4 linked regions of the Saccharomyces cerevisiae S288C genome follow. Changing the gene in region 4 together with the main gene of any one other region gives a genetic interaction. Each region holds a gene or a part of one and is shown on either strand. Other genes may lie near its edges.

Region 1 (4,923 bases), on a different chromosome or scaffold from region 4:
TACGAGTAACTGGAGTTTGTTCGCCTTGTTCCTTCTTGTGCTGGTAGCCGTAGTTTTCTTGAGAGAATTGCAGCACTTTATCGAACATGGTTTTGAACTTATTTTTGGAAGAACCAGTTGTTTTTGTCTTCTGCAATGGAATGGGCTCGTATTCATGCACTTCGCTTTGGACTGGAATTTCAGAATCCCCTAAATAGTGCTGCTCATTGGGCGGGATGCTCCCAGTGGATCCCAGATGGCTAACGCCGACCTGACGAGGTTTAGCCGCCGTAGTGCTATTATCGACTGCTTCAGGTTGAATACCATGTGAGTTGTAATACCTCGCTTGTGCGATTTTCAAAGCTTGGTCATACATTTCTTTATCTGTTAGCCCTGTGTTTGCACTTTTAGGCTCTGGAACTGGGTCAACAGCCTTATTCGATTTAAAATGTGTAGACACAGAGTGATTGTGCACTTCATGGGGGGCGCTTTTAGTATTTCTGCTGAAGAAGGAACTTGTAAATCTTTTTGGTTGAACCTCGACATTAGATTTGACAAGATTAGCAGTCGCCGTCGGAGAATCACTACTGCTTCTCAAGGTCATTTTTTGACCCATCCTACTTTTCCTGGATTTGTTACTCCCGAGGGGGGCCGATGCGTTATCCGAAGCAGCATCCGTGTGATAAACGTTTCTTTTAGCAACCTCTAGTGCCTTCAGATACATTTCTGCTTCGGTTAATGGTTTCTTGGCCTCTGCTTCTGCGTTTTTCACGGCAGGCGGTCTTTTCTTCCTTCTTGTCGTCGATGCTTGCTTCCTTTTATTATGAATATATTTACTACTGGTCTGATGGGTGGGAGGAATATAATCTAATGCGTCACTGAAGTTTGATAAACTACTTTCTTCTTCTAGAGGCATAACGTCTGTAGAATACTTATGGTGGAAATATGATCCAAGTGGGAAATCTGGTTTTTCCACGTTTAGCTCTGAATCATCTTGTAAATGACTTTCGCTTACTGGGGAATATGGCTTTTCGTTATCTGTTTCGTTTTCCTCGATTATATCGTGAATGTTATCACTAGCTTGTTCCTCTAAAATGTCGTCATCTTGCAACATGTAATTTTCACTAAATTCATCGAAATGACGCTGCGAGTCACCTAATGGAACCAAATTCTTAGTCGTAGTCGTGGTTTCTACGTATTCATACCCATTTATTTTTCTTATTGTCTTTTTGGTAATTGATTGAGTCCTTCCTGAAGGGTCTGTTACTTGTGTAGTCTTTACGGTAATGGAGTTGGCCCTTGAATCGTTATTGTTGCCGGCCGTCGATTTGTTCTTACCGTAGTTTCTTCTGACATTCGCACCAGACGTCATAGAATTCATACGGCTCCCATTAGTAGTATAACCGGGCGGGTGTAAATGGTACTCTCCGCTCCTTTGCGACCTCAACGAGTAAGTCTTCTGTGAATACTGCTTAGCTGCTGCCCTGGACGTTGGCGGAGCGGCAGAGGATGTGGAAAGCCTTCTTCCTGGGCTCTTTACCGAACTTCTTTGTCTCGGTATTGAAGGTGCATGACTAACCAGCGAGTGCGACCTTGAGTAATTGGTTCGATCCGGTGATGCGGCAGAAGCAGCAGAGGCAGCAGCAGCAGAGAGCTGAGGACTTTTGTTATAATCTTCATGGTTCTGATAGTAGTAATCATACCTAGATAAATCAGGTACCCTCCTGTCCCTCTTTGTAAAACCAAATACCATTTTCAACTTTCTTGATCAACAGAATGTCTTTGTTTGTTTATTCTAGTGAAAAAATAGAAGTAAAAAGCAATCAATATAAGCAACGTGAAACGATCGAAGGAAACTAAAAGAGGTTTGATGTTAGAAGAATTGATTAACACCAAATCAAGCAATTTATTGAAGTATGGGTCCCTGATGTTTGTCCTTCTCGTTCTTGCTTTCCCTCCCCTCTTCTCATCCATTCGCTTCATTTATGCTTTTATTTTCTTCTTTTTTTTCTCACAACAAATGTCCGAAACAAAAAAAGGGGCCTCAGCCATTAAAGGTAGTGAAAGGCACTTCTAAGAGTTGCGCCAAACAAGGGAAGATTAAAGGGAAAGAAAAGCTCTGGCAGGCTAAAACTGGCAGACTGGTCATGAGTGAAACTGGCGAAACTTCAGAGTATTATAAGCAGGCGCTGGAAGAATACAAAGAGGTCCAAGAAGACGAAGACCCGGATGTGTGGGACACGAGAATATCCAAGACCGGATGCTACGTAGAGAACCTCGCATTACAGCTGTGCCATGCCGAAACAGGTGACTGGAGGCAGTGCTTCAACGAGATGGCGTTATTTAGGAAGTGTTGGGAAAAGAATGGTAATAGAGAGCGCGTAAGCACAGTGGACGTGGATGGGACGACCAGTAAGGATTCGGAAAAGAAGAAATGAAAATCTAAATGTCGTGATGTATAACTTGTATATAATAGACAGCTGCAGTGATCGAAACACATTGTTTCCCTTTATAGAACATAACTGTTACGCTTTTGAACGGCATTTCTATGAGCTTCTAGAATATTTTTCCGCCCTAGCTGGAGAAAGTTCAGACAGAAAATTATTTAAATAAGTCGAATATCAGAGGTGCTGATGCGCTCACATCACATAGAAAACTGGTAAGACAATATTCAGGCGATCAAGGAGTAAAAATGACTAGACCTAAAACTTTTTTTGATATTTCTATTGGAGGTAAACCCCAAGGCCGTATAGTTTTTGAGTTGTACAATGACATAGTGCCTAAAACGGCTGAAAATTTTTTGAAGTTGTGTGAAGGAAATGCTGGTATGGCAAAGACTAAACCTGATGTACCATTGTCGTACAAGGGTTCCATTTTCCACAGAGTGATCAAAGACTTCATGTGTCAATTTGGTGATTTTACCAATTTTAATGGTACTGGCGGTGAGAGCATATACGATGAAAAATTCGAGGATGAAAATTTCACTGTTAAACATGATAAACCATTCCTTCTATCCATGGCCAACGCCGGTCCAAATACCAATGGATCTCAAGCTTTCATAACCTGTGTTCCTACACCTCATTTGGACGGGAAGCACGTTGTGTTTGGTGAAGTGATTCAAGGTAAAAGAATTGTTCGTTTGATTGAAAACCAACAATGTGACCAAGAAAACAACAAGCCATTGCGTGATGTAAAGATTGATGACTGTGGCGTGTTACCTGACGATTATCAAGTGCCAGAGAATGCCGAAGCTACACCAACAGATGAGTACGGCGATAATTATGAAGATGTTTTAAAACAAGACGAAAAAGTTGACTTGAAGAATTTCGACACCGTCTTGAAAGCTATCGAAACGGTAAAGAACATTGGTACTGAACAGTTCAAGAAACAGAACTATTCCGTGGCTTTAGAAAAATATGTCAAATGTGATAAATTCTTGAAAGAGTATTTCCCAGAAGATTTGGAGAAGGAACAAATTGAAAAAATCAATCAATTGAAAGTGTCTATTCCATTGAATATTGCCATCTGTGCTCTTAAATTAAAAGATTACAAGCAAGTATTAGTAGCCTCATCGGAGGTGTTATATGCCGAAGCGGCTGACGAAAAAGCCAAGGCCAAAGCTTTGTACCGTCGTGGCCTGGCCTATTACCATGTTAATGACACAGATATGGCTCTCAATGACCTAGAAATGGCCACTACTTTCCAGCCAAATGACGCTGCCATTTTGAAAGCTATTCATAATACTAAATTAAAAAGAAAGCAACAAAACGAAAAAGCTAAAAAGTCTCTTTCGAAGATGTTCTCCTGATTACTTGCATTATATATATGCTTATATGTTTAAATACTAAACAGTTGCGCTGCCTCAGTAGTTAAGTAAAAAGTACGTAGAAAACTCTGTTAAAAAAATTATTTTTTCAGGCATAATAAGCGGATATTTTCCGATGTCCATTTATGCAGTGGGAAGATTAAGAAGCTAATGATACCGTAACTCCACCAGTGAAACTAAAACGTGCGTCCAAAAAGCGCTGACATAAATTACTTATTGATGTCCTCACAAGAATATACAACTTTTATAGATATACCAGTGACAAGAGCGCAGGTTGAACACTGTTCTTACTCGTTTTGGTCCTCACTGTATCCCAAATATGTGCCAAAATCCATAGTGTTAAAATCCTTACCGAAAAAATTTATTCAATATTTGGAACAAGACGGTATCAAGCTACCCCAAGAGGAAAACTCCAGGTCTGTGTACACCGAGGAAATAATAAGAAATGAAGATAATGACTATAGTGATTGGGAGGACGATGAGGATACCGCCACCGAATTTGTCCAAGAAGTTGAGCCATTGATAGATTTTCCAGAATTACACCAGAAATTAAAGGATGCTTTGAACGAATTAGGTGCAGTGGCTCCCAAGTTAAACTGGTCTGCACCAAGAGACGCTACCTGGATTTTGCCGAATAACACTATGAAGTGTAACGAGGTAAATGAGCTTTACCTATTGTTGAACGCATCCAATTACATAATGCATGACCTTCAAAGAGCATTTAAAGGCTGCGTGGACGGGGATGATATAAAAGGATTGAAATTTGACTTGGTACTTAGACAATGGTGTGATATGAATCCGGCACTCGAATTTAGGGTCTTCGTTAAGAATGCGCATATCGTTGGGGCCACCCAGCGTGATTTAAATTATTATGACTATTTAGATGAGTTGTCAGATACCTTCAAGGACCTTATTGATGAAATAGTTCATGATGTCGTCCTGCCCAAGTTTCCTGATAAAAGTTTCGTTCTTGACGTTTATATTCCAAGACCTTTCAATAAAATCTTCATTGTTGATATAAATCCGTTTGCCAGGAAGACAGATTCTTTGCTATTTTCATGGAACGAGATTGCTGCGATAGCACCTCCGAAGAATGATGTTGAAGATTATGAATTAAG
Region 2 (4,641 bases), on a different chromosome or scaffold from region 4:
TCAAAACCACACGGCCAACTTCGACTAATCTCCAGTTAGAAGCCTTGACAATAGAATCGGTGGACATTGTTTATTTTATTTTTCACGACTCTCTTTGTTCACTAAGACAAACAATTAAATTTGTTATACAATCGGCAGACCTGATCAACTTAACCTTAGATTACTTTTTTTTCAGTTCAATAGTACTCGACGAGTACGAAGGGCAGTCCACTGAAAGCTCTACGCTCTCTCCGTTGCCAATTGGGCTGAGAATGGAAACACTGCGCGCTGAAGGGAAACCCGATTATGGAAAAATGCACGCAGCTGCAAGCAGCAATCTCTCGTAAACCGCTCTTTTCCGGGCGGAAAGTTAGGCCGACACCTGTTTGAAGCTTCATAAAATGCAAAATCGAAAAAAAATTGATAACGGACACTCAAAATTTGATATTTCACACATATTATGTATGTGATGTCAAGATGTAAAAATAGTGTATGGGTGTATTTGCGCTGTCAATTATTTTACTCAGAGTATAGTTACATTCTGGCAAGAATTTGCTGGTTTTGTCTTTTTTTACTTCACAACTAATGCTGGATTTTTTTATTTAAACCTAATTTCTTCAGTGAACTCCAATGTGTATTCATGTTTGATTTTAAAAGCTTCAATTTTAAAAGCTTCAATTTTAAATATCCGATGACTGTTAATCGCAGCTGCTAGTGAGATGACTGACAAAAGGTTCAGTAGAAACATAAAATATATAACAAATGTGTTGAGAATGATAGTATGATACAGTGGTATCATATTTCGTTCCTATTTGAGGTACCAGTAGTTCTTATCAAGAAGATTCAATGAGAAAGGTAACTGAATGATGATATAATTTGCGATCTAGGGCTAATCACTTGGAACACCGCCATGTTCTATATGGGTGATTAGCGAAGTGCGAAAAATTTTTTATCTGATATTTTCCTTGAACAATATTTCTAATAACACTTGCGTTGTTGCAACTGGCAGATTAACCATGTTGCTCAATATTCCTTCCTTGTATATGGGAGAACATCTTGAGGCAATGTTTAGAATTTAAAAATGTGTGCTCCCTTAAACTACGCTACTCAGAAAGGATCTTCGTGTGTACGGTAACTGACCAATGAATATTGTGCGGTAAGTATCTTATGTTTCTTGTTGCTGAATGTACGGTTCATGCAGTAAATTAGCTACTCTAGTTTTCTTGTTATTGCAAGAAGCCGCGCATTGCTACATGCAGAAAAAAAAAGAGGAAATAATATAAGGTATATCATTAAGAAGGATACTGGAAGAACTCAACAAGGAGAGAACGGTAGAAAGGTAATATATAATCATCATAGCGATGTCAAATTCTAGGTATTCTCAGACCGAATCAAACGTATGTAAATCACCGGCAACACGCATAGGTGTTTAGAATGGGACCTAGCTTGCTATATGGATGTTATAAGCTACTAACTATTGCTTCTGTACACCGGATGAGCAGATGTATCATCCCTTCATGTACATGTACTTTAAACAGAATGATAGGAAACTAGAGGGGTTAGCCAATAAATTAGCTACATTCAGAAACATAAACCAAGAGATTGGAGACCGAGCGGTCTCTGACAGTTCTGTCATAAACCAAATGACAGATTCATTGGGATCGATGTTTACCGATATCAAAAATTCGTCCTCAAGGTTAACCCGATCATTAAAGGCTGGTAATAGCATATGGAGAATGGTGGGTTTGGCGTTATTAATATTCTTCATTCTATATACCCTGTTTAAGTTATTTTAGTGAGCCAATCAAGCCAAAAATAAATAATGTACATAGATGTATTCAATTTAAGAAATAGGAAGAGAATGGAATAAGGCAGGCATGAAATTTCATTTGCCTTCTGCCGCATTCTTACCCAATCTATAACTGCCAATCGCACTACCCCAGTTAATTTTGGATCTCGTGACTGGTAATCTTCTTCTTAAGGCCTTAAACTGTTTTTCGTTCAAGTCGAAAAATGAAAGATCTAGATCATTTTCGAAATTCGTCTCAATATCCCTTATTGTGCAAACAACGTCATCAACGTTAGATTGATTGATATCCTTCCCAGATTGGAAACTAACGTTACCGTCTTCGTAATAGTGGACTTGCGTAGAGATTTGACCGGATAACTCCCTGGTCTCCAAATCGTAGATGTAGCTTGATCTCCAATGGCCGTTCCAGAAATTGTTTGGATTATATTTGGTGCTAACAATAATAATAGAAATTTTACTTATTTCCTCAGGGACTGGGTAAACAGCAAAACTGACATCACCTGGAAAGCTCTGAAGAAGATATTCGTGCAATTTATCGTGCAGTTCTTTCAATTGCCCTTTCTCTATCTTTGCATGCGTGAACTCATATGGTTCAATGTCAAGGCCCTTGCGCTCTAAATGGTTAACTGAAAATATTACGGAATTTACGGGATCAAAAAACTTTGCTCCTTCCTTGTTGTATTTGGAAATAATTACAGAGTTCCCGTTGACTTCTATAGGGATGCAATTCTGCACGTTGTAATTCTCAATAGCATCCAAAATAGTATTTTTGGAGTTTTCACTTGTGATCTTGATTAGATCGTCGTATACTTCCCTTAATTCTCCTGGAGGGCTGTCATTGATGATCTTGTTGATGACCTCTTCGAATTTACTACTAGACATTTTCTGTCGCTCTTATGATCCGTTGGATTAACGGTCTGAATAGTACCTTACAGTTGCTAACACCTTCCTATACTCAAATCCAGTACTAGCCACTGTAAAATCAGTATTCCAATAGGAAGAAAAAGGGGATCATAACCCGGCTATCGTATCACATGATAGTCACGTGCAGTGATTATCACGTGATCCGAACTGTTGTGAAAAAACGCGACGCGAAAAAAAAAATGCTGGGCTTCAACAGGAAAAAGACCAGGAATGAAAAATAGTTGGAAAGGAAACAACTGTCTTTTCCGGTCATTCCAACAAAGTTGCTAGATCCGCGGAACCATTTTCGTCATTTTTTTTTTTTCACTCTTTTTTCTCATATCGGTGGGCATTGTACCTGATCATGCTAGACAAATAACGTGGGAGGAGGGAGAAAGTATTGGAATCTAGACAAAGATTTTTAAGTTATTTTTCTATTGTTTCCCTCCTTGGCTTGTTGCATCCCGTTTTGTTTTATTTACTTGCTTTTTTTTTTTCTTATTTATTTATTTATTTATTTATTGTTATTTGGCTATTGTATTCCGTGAACCCGTTTTTCTGCTACATCGGCTTTATAATCCGGACCTGATTTAAGTTAAAACTACAGTTTCTTGTTCGTTACCGTTTTTCTGTTCCATACAGATATTTTTGTCGGTTGATCGCTATTGTTTTTATTATTCATACCTCCGGTAAACATTTAGATAGACACAGTATCAATAAACAAGAGCTATGTCGACAATAAAGCCAAGCCCTTCAAACAACAATTTGAAAGTGAGGTCAAGACCAAGACGCAAGTCTTCCATAGGTAAGATCGACCTCGGGGACACTGTACCTAGTTTAGGTACTATGTTCGAGACAAAAGAATCTAAAACGGCTGCTAAAAGGCGTATGCAGAGATTATCTGAAGCCACCAAAAATGATAGCGACCTGGTCAAGAAAATCTGGTTTTCATTCCGAGAGATAAGTTACCGTCATGCCTGGATAGCTCCCTTGATGATTTTAATCGCGGTATATAGTGCCTATTTCACTTCTGGTAACACTACAAAGACAAATGTGTTACATAGATTTGTCGCTGTGTCATACCAAATAGGTGATACCAACGCATATGGTAAAGGTATTAACGATTTGTGCTTTGTATTTTACTATATGATTTTTTTCACATTCTTACGTGAATTCCTAATGGATGTTGTCATTAGACCGTTCGCTATTAGGTTACACGTCACTTCTAAGCACAGAATAAAAAGAATCATGGAACAAATGTACGCTATTTTCTACACCGGTGTTTCCGGTCCTTTCGGGATATATTGTATGTACCATTCGGATTTATGGTTTTTCAACACAAAGGCAATGTACAGAACATATCCAGATTTCACTAATCCCTTCTTATTCAAGGTATTCTATTTGGGTCAAGCTGCATTTTGGGCTCAACAAGCCTGCATTCTTGTATTGCAACTAGAAAAGCCAAGAAAAGATCATAACGAGTTGACTTTCCATCATATTGTTACTTTACTATTGATTTGGTCTTCCTACGTATTTCATTTCACTAAAATGGGACTGCCAATCTATATCACAATGGATGTTTCTGATTTTCTTTTGTCATTCTCCAAAACTCTAAATTATTTGGACTCTGGATTGGCTTTTTTTTCTTTTGCTATCTTTGTTGTTGCGTGGATTTATTTGCGTCATTACATAAATTTAAAGATCCTATGGTCCGTTTTAACGCAATTTCGCACGGAAGGTAACTATGTCTTGAATTTTGCCACTCAGCAATATAAATGTTGGATTTCCTTACCAATTGTCTTTGTATTGATAGGCGCTTTGCAATTAGTGAATCTTTATTGGCTGTTCCTTATTTTTAGAGTTCTTTACAGGATTCTATGGAGAGGTATTCTCAAGGATGACAGAAGTGATAGTGAATCAGACGAAGAAAGTGATGAAAGTTCCACTAC
Region 3 (5,985 bases), on a different chromosome or scaffold from region 4:
GTTGACTACTGAAATTGTAGAAGTCGTAATCAAACTGAGTTTCCGAAATTGGTGAAGAATATATATTGGGGAATTGTTGATAGTAATTCAATCTTGGCTGATTATAGTTGTAATAGTTATAATAACCATTCATACTAGAAAATTCAGACCTTGAGTTACTCTGATAAGATGGTGATGAAAACATGTTATGCGGCATCAGCATGGGGGTTTCATAATTGGAAACTGGAGATAATAGGTTGTTTGTGGAAGTAGGCTTCAAGTTGAAATTTACGTTTCTCGTATCACCAACGTTGACAATTGGAGATAATAACGTAGGAACCGCTACAGCAGGTTTGAGTTGATTTTGCTTGAAAATCTCAAAATTCTTGACGAACTCAAAATAAAGAAAAGCACTATCATACAATTCCCAGTTAAATATTCTCAACCATTGTCTCTCGAAATCATTGATAACATTTATCAGTATTCCTGTTGCCTGTGACCATGAGTTATTGGTGAAAGTTTTGTCATCGTTGAACTTGTTTGCTAATATGAACGCAATCATAGTATTTTGATAAATGATATTGATCGAATTGCCACCAATTGAATGTATCCCATTAGATAATTTATTGATATACTTGAAAAGATAATCTATAGCCAAAAAAATAGTAGCTGAAGGCAATCTCGTGGCATTCAACACAGAAGATATGCCCTTGAAAAAAAGATCAGTGGTCTGGTCATCAGTACTATAGTTCGCGTTGAAGGCAACAAAGGCATTTTCCATGATAAATTTTGACATTATAGAAATATCGTAGTCCAAGTTCTCACTGACGCCCCCATTTACTTGGTTAGATTGTTGTGGTTGTTGTTGTCCATCCCGAATCATTTGAACAGGAGGAGGAATAACGTTGCTGTTATTGTTACTAGTGTACATTAGGCCCGGAGGGGGAAGGATAGGTGGTTGCTGGTGCTGTTGAAGTGGTGCAGGAGGAGCATAGTAAGTAGAACTTGGCTGATTGAAGTAACCTAAAGAAGCCATGGATGGCAACTGAGTATGAACTGATTGCGAGGGAACATGACCTAAATATTTAGGCAGTTGCCTAGCAACATTAACAGCAGAAGTAGCCGAACCTTTCGGAAAAGGCAAACTAATTGGATAACCACTAGAATTACCCATCGTTTCAGGATAATACTTGAAAGTATTAGCCATTTCTATATGAAGGGGGGTTTGTTGGGGGGAGGGGGGCTGAAGACGAATTAACTCAATAACTGTCTTAATAATGTTAAAGAAAAAAAAAATTCCTTGTAGTGTATAAGCTAAACGCTAATAAAGCTGGTTTAAATGTGTGAAACGAAGTCTCTTCGAATACTGTAAAATAACCCCACTGAATATACACAAACACACAGAAAAAGGATTAAAGTTAATAAAAAAAAACGACTCGAAGACTTAAAGGCAAACCTTCAAGTAATGCAGTCTCTGTAAAAACAACAGCAAACACAAATTTGCTAAATTTTGCTTAAAAGAGTCTCCTGAGAAACGTTTTCTTTTAATTTGGGTCAATAAAGGAAATTAACCCAGTAAAAGGCTTTAGAGAAAAAAAAAAGGAAGAAAAAACGAGAACGAGAATCTAGTATATGATCCTTGTGCGTTTTTCTTAAAAGATCAATGATTTGTGGTGCTTAGTTTCTTTTAGAATCTCTTAGAAAGTAGGTAATGTGTCTAATGACTAAAAGCAATTATTCACTTTGAACCTTTTCTCGTGCCAAATAAATTCAAAAAAAAGAAATTAAAGAAAAATTTTTCCCGTAACCCGGAATTAATCAACATAAATGCGTTTAATGCTGGCGGAAAGAAGTTATATTCGATAGTTTACGTAGGATATGTATGTTATTTCCTGGCAGTGGCCAGTAGACTTTGATGAGTAAGAAGGGAGGAGCGCATCTTCCTTCTTGGAACCGCTGTAGTCGGAGCGGAGGGGGTCGAGGGCCCCTGCTCATTGAATGTGGTATCTTGCATACTTACGTCCACTTCACTTGCAATGGCGTCTTGATCTTGGTGTAGTTCTGGTTCTAGCTCCGGTTGTGGTTCAATCATAGGGCTGGGACTAAGGTCGGGACTCGTCCACTTTACTTTTTTTTGGGAAAAATTTTGCCGTTGTAGGGTCTCAGCGGGAACAGCCAAGTCAGCTGCCGTCGTGTTTATTATATTTATATTTGTGTTTGTAAAATTGCTATCGGGATTGGCGATAAAAGTTCTGGCAAAAGATTCAAACTCCTCGTCGATATGAACCAGGTCTTGAATTATGGATTCAATGTTAGGTGTCCTATTCATCAGCCACTTTGATAGAAATTTAAATCGGGAGTTCAAACCCGGATCTGACATTAATTTTTCTGTCATTATGGAGGAATTAACCAAGATTTCGTTTCTTTGTAATTCTGATATTTGATTTAAACACGACTCCAAGTACACCAGGTCGTAAGTTTCATCCCAGTCCTCCATCTCTCTTAACTTGTTCAAGTCAATGGAATGTACCTGATGAATGACGGAACTCAGAGTGTCGGTTTCATCAAATTTCATTTCTAACTCGTGTATTTTGTTATAAAGCTGACCACTGATCATTCGGCAATTACTAATCACCGGCTGCATCTCGGCGGCTGTACTTTCCTCCCGTTCAAATAATAGTATCAAATTATCCACTTCTAGCTTGACCATTTGCAAAAACCGCCTTTTACAAAGTATTAATGATTTCAAGGTCTTGGCTACTTGATACGTTTCCACTCCTGCATACGTTTGCTGAACACGATTGACGCACTCGTTAATGGCTAACTGGATCTTTTCTTTGTTTAGTTTGTATTTCGTTAGCTTCAAAGAAATCATCTTCTCTTCACGTTCGCGTAACTCTTCGATTTGTCGCTTTTGTTCCGTAATCATTTTCAAATAAGATCCAACGTGTCTACTCAAAGACTGCTGATTTCTGATTATTTTGGTCTTTATTTCTTTAGCACGATTTGCATATTTCAAAGTATTCAATGTCTCATCATAATGTGAACTGCTGGGCGATATGCAAACAATCATGACTGTTTTGCAATTGCCACCCAGTGAAAATTTCAACAGCCTAGTTAACTTGGAATCCCTGTATGGAATATGACAGCTTCTGCTGCCATCATTCAAGCACAACGCGTTAATGCAATTGCCCAGTGCTAGTAGGGATCTATTTATATTCGCACCTTCGTGTAATCTTATACCACGGTTTCTTGTTGCGGCGGCTCTTTCGCTCCCAGCTAGATCGATTATTGAAAGTGTAGCAAATGTATGTTGCGAGGTCAAGTCTACAAGCTTATTTGTCTGCATGATGTGTATTTGCAGCACTGCATGAGATCGTGAAGATACTTCGTTTGCTTCCGTCGGTGACGTAGTCCTGTTTATGTTTCCCTGGACAACTAAGTCCATCACATCTTCTACCGTATTTGGGTGGTGATACGACAAATTCGCCACTTTGATGTGGTTCTGCGTATCTTCTCTAATGACCAATCTTTTAGATGGTGTCTCTGGTTTCAAAAGGTCTCTGATTCTTTCATTGTATATTTCCAAGTAAGACAGTGAAATCTCGAAGTCTTTTTCGTCCTTCAGGTCTGTAATTTTATTGAATAGTTCCTCCATGGCTAGAAATATGATCCCCGGCTGTGAAGGTGTGCCACTCACAGTATATGTCTTGCCACAACCAGTAGCACCGTAAGCAAATACGGTACTGTTGAATCCATCTAAAACAGAATCTAGGAGCGGGCTGGTGGTCTCTTTGTATACACGGGCTTGGGAAGAGGTTTCATCAAACAATTTATCAAATACAAACTTGATTTCGCCACCGTGCCTTCGACGTTGCGAAGAAAATTTGTTCGTAGCATTGCTGTTATTGATAGAGGACGCAGTGGCCTTAGTGGCCCTTGCACGCATCGAGTTCAGGACCTGATCACTCACTTTGTTCAATGGGTTTCTATCAGCTGGGTCGAATATGAGCATTCTATCATCCACACAATCCACAATTTTACGTATACCCTCCGGTCTAATTACTTTTCTCCTCAGCAAGCTATTTCTTTTGCTCCGCGTAGAACCTTCTTCAGCGTCTATGTCTATATCGGAGTCGGAGTTATTACTCATGGGTAATATTAACGACGAATCCCCCAAACCGGGAAAGTTAGCTTCTGCACCACTAGCTTCATTGACCAATCTTGTTTTTTCCATTGACGTAAAGGGCCTTACTCTTATAGCTACGACTATGGAGGATTGTCTTGTTTCAGGCACGTTCATGTTAGTGTCAATAGTATACAGCTGGAAAGAAAACTCAAGTAGTTAAAGAATGCAATGAAATGATAATCAGATAAACGATGCAATCAGGGAATATGAAAATTTTAATATAAAAAAAAAAAAAGAAAAATCAACAGCTTCGAAACACTGATCTGGACTTTTTTAACCTGCAGATATTTGTTACACGCAGATTATAAATTTTGTCTCTATAGGAACAGCTGAACACTATACTGGATACCGATGTTCTACCGACCAGACGTGAATGTATCTGGTCCTTTTGTATCCAAGGATAAGACAAACCAAACCCATACTAAAGTCATCAAACAAGGCATAATACAGGTAAAATAAACAAAACAAAAACTAAAAACACGGCTAGCTAAGGGAAAAAGTAGTAATGACCTAGGGTGAATAGCTTTTTTCAATTAGGTTTTTCCTTTTTTGTACTATATTAAATAGGGCTAAACTGTTTTAAGCATAGGGCAAAGAACTTATAAATTAGGTTTGAAAAAGGGCCATGAAGCCTTGTAGTAAAAAGAGACCAATTAGAAGAGTCATGGAAGATTCGTAAAACATAGAAACAGTAACAATTATAACAAAAAAAACACAACTGCAAGAAACTTCAGCATCGTCATGTCATTTAGATTCAACGAAGCTGTGTTTGGTGATAACTCTTTCAATGAACGAATACGGGAAAAGTTATCTACGGCTTTGAACTCACCGTCTAAAAAGAAATTAGATATCTTGAAAAGCGGAATTAAGGTACAGAAGGTGGATTTTCCTACAATACCACAGCTAGAAATTCTGGACCTAGACATTATCACGCAGCCCAAGTCTCTGGCCAAGGGGATTTGCAAGATTTCATGTAAGGATGCTATGTTGCGGATACAGACAGTCATAGAGTCGAATCTTTTATTGATTAACGAACAGGATACACCCAGCTTTACCATGCCCCAGCTCATCAATAATGGATCGTTCACAATTCCTATAACTATGACGTTCAGTTCCATCGAGCTAGAAGCCATCACGAATATTTTTGTAAAGAACCCTGGAATTGGGATATCCTTTAATGACGTTGATTTGGATTTTAAGTTTGATTGTTCTGTAAAAATTCTCCAAAGCACCATTGAGAGAAGGCTAAAAGAGTCCATGCATGTAGTGTTCAAGGATGTTCTTCCTTCTTTGATCTTCAACACGTCACAGAACTGGTTCACCAATCGCGGCGAGAGCACCAGTACCATCCCTGGTAAAAGAGAGCATCATCATCAACAAACTACAATGTCTAGGAATGTAATCTTGGACGGATCAGATTTTCAAGAGCTTTCTCCAATAAACATGCTACGTCTTTCAAGCATTGTGTCGTCGAGGTCAACACTGTCACTACATTCCACTGTGATGAATTCTCTTTCCGCTATACCTGGTTGCTTGGAAAGACAAAACTTGTACAGATTTATATCAAGGATGCCCTCTTTAAACAATTACTACTCTTCGCAATCATTTCCACAACCAAAGTCATCAACCGTATCATCAAAACAATTGGTAAAGCCATTCTACTGTTCCCACAATCTATTACCTAAAACAGTGTTAGATTCCAGCCAGTACGATTTGGCTACGATAACCAAGATTCAGTCTCGACTTTTCGATAGGAGTAACAGCAACGACGACAATGCCAAACCAAGGAGAAGAAAGATCAAATGCAAAAAGACCCG
Region 4 (6,461 bases):
GTTCGCTCACGAGGGAATTCTTCATGCTAATACTATGGGATTGAGAACTGTGTTCACGGACCATTCACTCTACGGTTTTAATAACTTAACGTCGATTTGGGTGAATAAGTTGCTAACATTTACCTTGACAAACATAGATCGGGTTATATGTGTTTCTAATACATGCAAAGAAAATATGATTGTTAGAACAGAATTAAGTCCTGATATAATCTCAGTAATTCCCAACGCAGTGGTGAGCGAAGATTTCAAACCAAGGGATCCTACTGGTGGCACCAAGAGAAAACAAAGTAGGGATAAGATAGTGATCGTGGTCATCGGAAGGCTCTTTCCAAACAAAGGGTCCGATTTACTTACTCGCATAATTCCGAAAGTTTGTTCCTCACATGAAGATGTCGAATTTATAGTAGCGGGCGATGGTCCAAAGTTCATAGATTTTCAACAAATGATTGAAAGTCATAGACTACAAAAACGTGTGCAACTCTTAGGCTCTGTTCCACATGAGAAAGTCAGGGATGTATTATGTCAAGGTGACATATATTTACACGCTAGTTTAACAGAAGCATTTGGTACAATTCTAGTTGAGGCCGCATCTTGTAATTTGCTAATTGTAACGACACAAGTCGGAGGAATTCCCGAAGTGTTACCAAATGAGATGACTGTTTATGCAGAACAGACATCCGTTTCTGACCTTGTTCAAGCAACAAATAAAGCTATCAATATCATAAGAAGTAAAGCTTTGGACACTTCCTCTTTTCATGATAGCGTGTCTAAAATGTACGACTGGATGGACGTAGCCAAAAGGACAGTAGAGATATATACTAATATATCTTCTACTTCTTCCGCTGATGATAAAGATTGGATGAAAATGGTAGCAAATCTTTACAAAAGAGATGGAATCTGGGCTAAACATCTTTATCTGTTATGTGGAATTGTAGAGTACATGCTTTTTTTCCTCTTAGAGTGGCTATACCCCAGGGATGAAATCGATCTAGCTCCAAAATGGCCCAAGAAAACAGTGTCTAACGAGACGAAGGAAGCAAGAGAAACTTAAACTTTACACAAAACAAAGGAATGTTGTATCCATTTATTTACTGTATTTGAATGTTATAGACCTGCTAGAATCACTCAGTCATTTGTAATATGTAACAACATTTTGAGATTTGAGTCGTATATTTTTCCTCTTGCGCTTTAAATACGAAATGTAAGAATGATCTCTTTCATGCCAGAGTTCATCTTCTGCCAAAGGTTGATCAAGCTTTAAATCTAAAATCCGTGAGGTACTCACGAAGTTGAACATTTCTATCCCCAAGGTGTCCAAACTGTGGTTGATATGTTCTTTGAATGGTTGCTTATTTTCCACAGCTGGAAGCTCGTCTAACCAGCTGAAATCGATGCTCACTCGTTTCTGCTCTTTTATTTGTCGTCTTATGGTTTCTCTCAATTCCATGATTTCCGAAACTAAATTTACTCTATCTACTTTCTCTCTGTCTAAATAAATTTTGTTCAACGTATTATTATCCTTTATTTGATATAGTTTGAGCTCCATATTCTTCAAACGGTTTACTAGGTTGAAATTTTCTTCTTTCAGCTTGTTAAGAATTTCTGTTTTGCCACAATTTTCCTCATTTTTGTTATTTAACTCTACTTTGAGTGTTTTGATATTCTCTTCAAGGGTTTTCCTCTCTAAATCCCTCCCAATAATAATTTTAATTTTTGTTTCCAATTCAGTTAGCATATTTTCCTTTTGGACCAGTACTTCTTTGAGTCGAATGTTCTCTTCATTCAAGCGATCGCTTAATAACGAGTTTGAAAAATTGCCCTCCTTAATATTACATTGACTTTCTGAATCACTTGTTTGTTGACTGGGTTGCTCAGGAAATATAGTTATGTTTTCTAAGAGACTTTCTATTCCTTGAAAAAATACCTCTAGTTTTTTCAAAGAAGAAATACGTTTGTAATCTTGTCGCAAAAACAGTGCATCTGAAAAAAGTATCGTTAAGATAGAGGACAGGGTTATATCACAGGAAGGATATAAAAATAACCTATTGTCTTGTTTCGAAATTTCTTCCTTTCCGATAAGTTTATCTATTCTGGCAATAAGTGAAAGTGATCTCTCGTAAAGGGAACCAATAAGACATAGGGTATCATTGTCATTGAAATTGCTGTTCGTTCTAAGAAAAGCCAACAGCTTCGGAACAGTTGTTTCCAATATCGGATGAAGTATTTTTAGTATCAAGGTCACATCCTTATCTAGAAACTTATTATCTTCTAAAAACTGACAAATGGAAAAGGCGGTTTCCTGTTTAGAAGAAAACTTCCTTTGCAAAAACTCGCTTAGCCACATCGAAATCGGAGCAATATTTACTTTGAAACATTGTAATGTCGTTTCCAGGTGATCGGGAGTATTCTTTATGGTGTAAATATGAAGCGCATAACTGATAGAGCTCAACACTTTTAGAATTATATGGATTTCAATATTCTCCAACTTTCCAAAATTTTCACTTTCGATTACTTCGGCTAAATATTGCAATTGAGAGGAAAGAGCCGCCAAATGTGGTTGTGCAAATGGCTCATATATTTGGTAAAATTTCTTTAGCAATTTATTTTGATATAATTCCTCCTGTAAAGTGTTCACTTTTAGTTCAAGACTTTGAAATTTGTGAGATGTTTTGGCTTCAATAGATTCCAATGTTGCTTTTAATCTTGAATTTTCTTCGATATATGTGCCTGCTATCTCCTTTTCATTTTCCAATGCAGATTGCAAATTACTTAATTGCAGTCTCAGTTCTTGCTCGAGTTGCTCATAGGTAATTCTTAAATTTTCATCCAATTTTTCTTTTGCCTGTAGTTCCTCCAACTCATTGTTTAAAGCCTTTATATTACTTGTGAGTAGGATATTATCATTAGTCAATTTATCAACAATATTAGATGATTTACTTTGAGCTTCAATCTGCAAGGCAAGGTCGCCGATTGTATTATTAGTCTGTTGCAATTGCAGACCTAAATCCGATATTTTTTTAGATAATACTGCATTTTCTTCTAATAACTGAGTATTCTCCTCGAGCAGGTCCTCTTGCACCTTCATAGCTTTATCATATGACAACTTTGTTTGGTCGAGTAGTCCCTGAAGAAGATGGCTCCTTTCTAACAGTGTGCCTTTGTCGAGATCCGGTGCCATTACACTATCTGAAGCATCTAATAGGTGATTGAAATTATCCAAATGAGTTTTCATATTACCATTTTCCACTTTCAGTTCTTTGACTAGTTTATCCAATCTTGAGATTTTAGACAATAGAACAGTTTCATTAGTACTCAGCTTTTCAACGGAAGTTTTCAGCTCATGATTTTCTATTTTAATTTTATTTAATTTGGACGCCAATGATTCACATTTTACTTGTAGATTCTTAATTGTTTCTTGCGCTGCATTACCATTTAGCAAACTATGCTCATCGTCATCTGGTTTATAAAACTGCAACGTATCTTTCTTGCAGAAAAGACCATAATAACCACCATTTGAATTAGCTTTCTTCAGGTCGATATCAAAGTAACGAATACCGTTAGCGCTTCCATCATTCTTTCCTAACGGTTTATCTAGTTCAATGCCGTACCATATGCCTTTTGCAAATTGAGTTTCCCCAATGAATTTCACCCGCCCCTTCATCTCGTTGACTAGAACTGTGTCCTGTAAGCTTATCTTCTGCATATTTGTGTCAACTTGAACACCTGCATTGCGCATTTGTCCAAGGCTGTACTGCGAGGTTGATGGAGATCGAATCTAGAATAGTATTATGTACTTTGCAAAAGTAAAGTACAACATAAAGTCTAGCAGCATATGAGTAACTCTCTACAGTTACGCCAACAATCTCAGTGTGGAGGTTAGAGTAAAAAGAAAGCACCTTACAACTGTACGTTTACATAAGTGACTTTTCAACATATATGCATTTTTTGTTAAGCATTGTAAAATACCCGGTTGAAAAGCGACATGAAAAATAACGACATGTTAGATTCAAAAGTACCTACTGCTCTTTAACAGCTACTTAAGGATTACCTGATAAGAGTAATCCACCGTAAAGAACATTATCAGCAACAAAATTTGTAATCCATCATGTCTGGAAGCTATCAACATTTATCAAACGTTGGATCGCGTGTTATGAAAAGATTGGGGAATCGACCCAAAAACTTTCTTCCTCATAGTGAAAAGTTCATTAAAAAATCTACGCCTGAGTTCATGAAGTCAGATTTAAAGGAAGTAGATGAGAAAACTAGTTTCAAGAGTGAAAAAGAATGGAAGTTTATACCTGGCGACAGAGTAGTAGTAATGAGCGGGGCTTCCAAAGGAAATATAGCTGTAATTAAATCTTTCGATAAAAGAACAAATTCATTCATATTAGATGAGAATGGGCCCACAAAGACTGTTCCAGTTCCTAAACAATTCTGGCTTGAAGGCCAAACATCTCACATGATAACAATTCCAGTTTCAATTTTGGGAAAGGATTTAAGGCTAGTTGCTGATATTGACGATGAAAAGACCCCAGGAAAGACAAGAACGGTGGCAGTAAGGGATGTTTCCTTCAATGGTTCCTACTATGATGCAGACTACAAAAAGGTAATGCCATATAGATGCGTAAAGGGTCAACCAGACTTGATCATTCCATGGCCTAAACCAGACCCAATTGATGTGCAAACGAACTTGGCTACCGATCCTGTAATTGCTAGAGAACAAACATTTTGGGTCGATTCCGTAGTGAGAAACCCTATTCCAAAAAAGGCAATACCAAGTATTCGCAATCCTCATTCTAAGTACAAAAGGGGTACCTTGACAGCGAAAGATATAGCTAAGCTAGTAGCACCTGAGATGCCCCTAACAGAGGTAAGAAAAAGCCATTTGGCAGAAAAAAAGGAGTTGGCTGAGAGAGAAGTACCAAAACTAACTGAAGAGGACATGGAAGCTATTGGGGCGAGGGTTTTTGAATTTTTGGAAAAACAAAAAAGAGAATAAATGTACCAAGTGTATGCACTCTATTTTTATATTTGATTCTCTAGTGTGATTTTTTTAATCAGTATATCCCCTTCACTATTCACGTAGTAAATAAGTTATATTCGACCTGTATATATGAAAGCATAAAGTAAAGTTCAAAGAATATTCAGATATTGATGTGGGCAAACGTGATGACTTCAAATTACAAAATCTTTTCTTTAAAAATAAATTATGTGCGTATGTACATTATTTTTAACCAATAAAAGGGTTTAAATATTTATTTACAAGATTAATGACTGCCCTTTAAGCGTTGTCTCTTTATCTCATTGTACTAATGCTAAAATCGTTCCTGTGGTCGCTTTGCTTCACCAGGATATATCCAATCCCAGCGGCCTTTTTTATGTATAATGGCTAGGATTAGAATTGCCGGTAGGTGCAATACACTAGCCATAAAAGTTTTCCTTGCATAAATGTTGGCTACACTTAGACCTTTATTAAACTTGACGTTATCTTTTAATGTTTTTGCAGAATAGTTGATTCTTTGTTGCCAATAGAATTTGAAAGCCCAGAACGTTAGCCAGGCATTTATAAGTCCGGAATCTATTTGGTAGTACCAATCTGTGATATTAAAATAAGACAATCCGAAACATAAAGGGAACATTAGGATAGAGTATCTCAACGACACACGGGCGTTTAGGAGCGGATTTTTCCATGCAGTCATAACGTATCCGGCATTTTTGTATTCATTTCTAATGTTATGACTCAACGTATTAAAGTGTGGGAATTGCCAAGCAAACAATAGACCAGCAAGGCACCAAGATCCCGGATGTGAAAGCGGACTTGCGGCTGCCCATCCCATTAGAGGAGGTACCATTCCTACTAGGGCACCTAACCATGTGTTAATGATATGCTTTCTTTTCATAGACGTATAGGCCCAGCCATATAACGCGATATTTGAAGCACCAAGAATAGCAACGGTAGGATTAACACCAAAGTACAAGATAGATACTCCTAATGTTCCGATAAGTGCGGCAAACTCGAATGCCTGGGTAGGTGTAACATCACCTCTAACAACGGGCCTCGCCTGAGTTCTCACCATTTGTCTATCAAATTCTGGCTCTCTGCCCATATTTATAGCGTTTGCAGAACCGGAACACAAAGTAGTGCCTACTGTTAAACATAACAATTCATTGACGGAGGCTGGATATGGAGATAAAGCATACGAACAAATGGCACTTAACATCACTAGAATGGTGAGTCGGGGCTTGGTCAACTGAAGATATGGCATAATTACCTTCTTCTTTAAAGTTTTCATATTCAGCCCTTCGCTGATTGCGTGAGATGGTCTCTTAGATTTTCTTACCATCGGGTCTACAAGTTTGACATTAAATGGAAGTTGTGTGCTTGCATCGGTAGTAGCTTCGCTTCCACTTGAAGTTGATATATCATCTGTGCATCTTAGCGTTTTCATGGCAGTCGATTC

The links.
Region 1: mutations in NIP100 (region 4) and CPR6 impair growth when combined (synthetic growth defect), as found in Saccharomyces cerevisiae (4 studies listed by BioGRID, with this or other methods).
Region 2: mutations in NIP100 (region 4) and CAP1 together harm fitness more than expected from each alone (negative genetic interaction), as found in Saccharomyces cerevisiae (5 studies listed by BioGRID, with this or other methods).
Region 3: mutations in NIP100 (region 4) and KIP3 together harm fitness more than expected from each alone (negative genetic interaction), as found in Saccharomyces cerevisiae (5 studies listed by BioGRID, with this or other methods).

The regions. Positions count from the first base shown.
Region 1 is NC_001144.5:570,960-575,882, reverse strand, and holds CPR6 (peptidylprolyl isomerase CPR6), read left to right. Parts: upstream 1-2,671; coding exon 2,672-3,787; downstream 3,788-4,923. Other genes in the region: MSC3 (Msc3p), read right to left, coding at 1-1,732; COA4 (Coa4p), read left to right, coding at 1,965-2,417; cell proliferation protein CDC123, read left to right, coding at 4,025-4,923. UniProt on the Saccharomyces cerevisiae protein: PPIases accelerate the folding of proteins. It catalyzes the cis-trans isomerization of proline imidic peptide bonds in oligopeptides.
Region 2 is NC_001143.9:427,332-431,972, reverse strand, and holds CAP1 (Cap1p), read right to left. Parts: upstream 2,672-4,641; coding exon 1,865-2,671; downstream 1-1,864. Other genes in the region: 60S ribosomal protein eL14 RPL14A, read right to left, coding at 1-67; SFT1 (Sft1p), read left to right, coding at 1,341-1,376, 1,518-1,775; sphingosine N-acyltransferase LAC1, read left to right, coding at 3,422-4,641. UniProt on the Saccharomyces cerevisiae protein: F-actin-capping proteins bind in a Ca(2+)-independent manner to the fast growing ends of actin filaments (barbed end) thereby blocking the exchange of subunits at these ends.
Region 3 is NC_001139.9:83,182-89,166, reverse strand, and holds KIP3 (tubulin-dependent ATPase KIP3), read right to left. Parts: upstream 4,283-5,985; coding exon 1,865-4,282; downstream 1-1,864. Other genes in the region: CLG1 (Clg1p), read right to left, coding at 1-1,186; ERMES complex subunit MDM34, read left to right, coding at 4,910-5,985.
Region 4 is NC_001148.4:219,038-225,498, forward strand, and holds NIP100 (Nip100p), read right to left. Parts: upstream 3,737-6,461; coding exon 1,130-3,736; downstream 1-1,129. Other genes in the region: phosphatidylinositol N-acetylglucosaminyltransferase SPT14, read left to right, coding at 1-1,051; mitochondrial 54S ribosomal protein uL24m MRPL40, read left to right, coding at 4,106-4,999; COX10 (protoheme IX farnesyltransferase), read right to left, coding at 5,316-6,461. UniProt on the Saccharomyces cerevisiae protein: Motor-binding component of the dynactin complex which assists cytoplasmic dynein by increasing its processivity and by regulation of its cargo binding.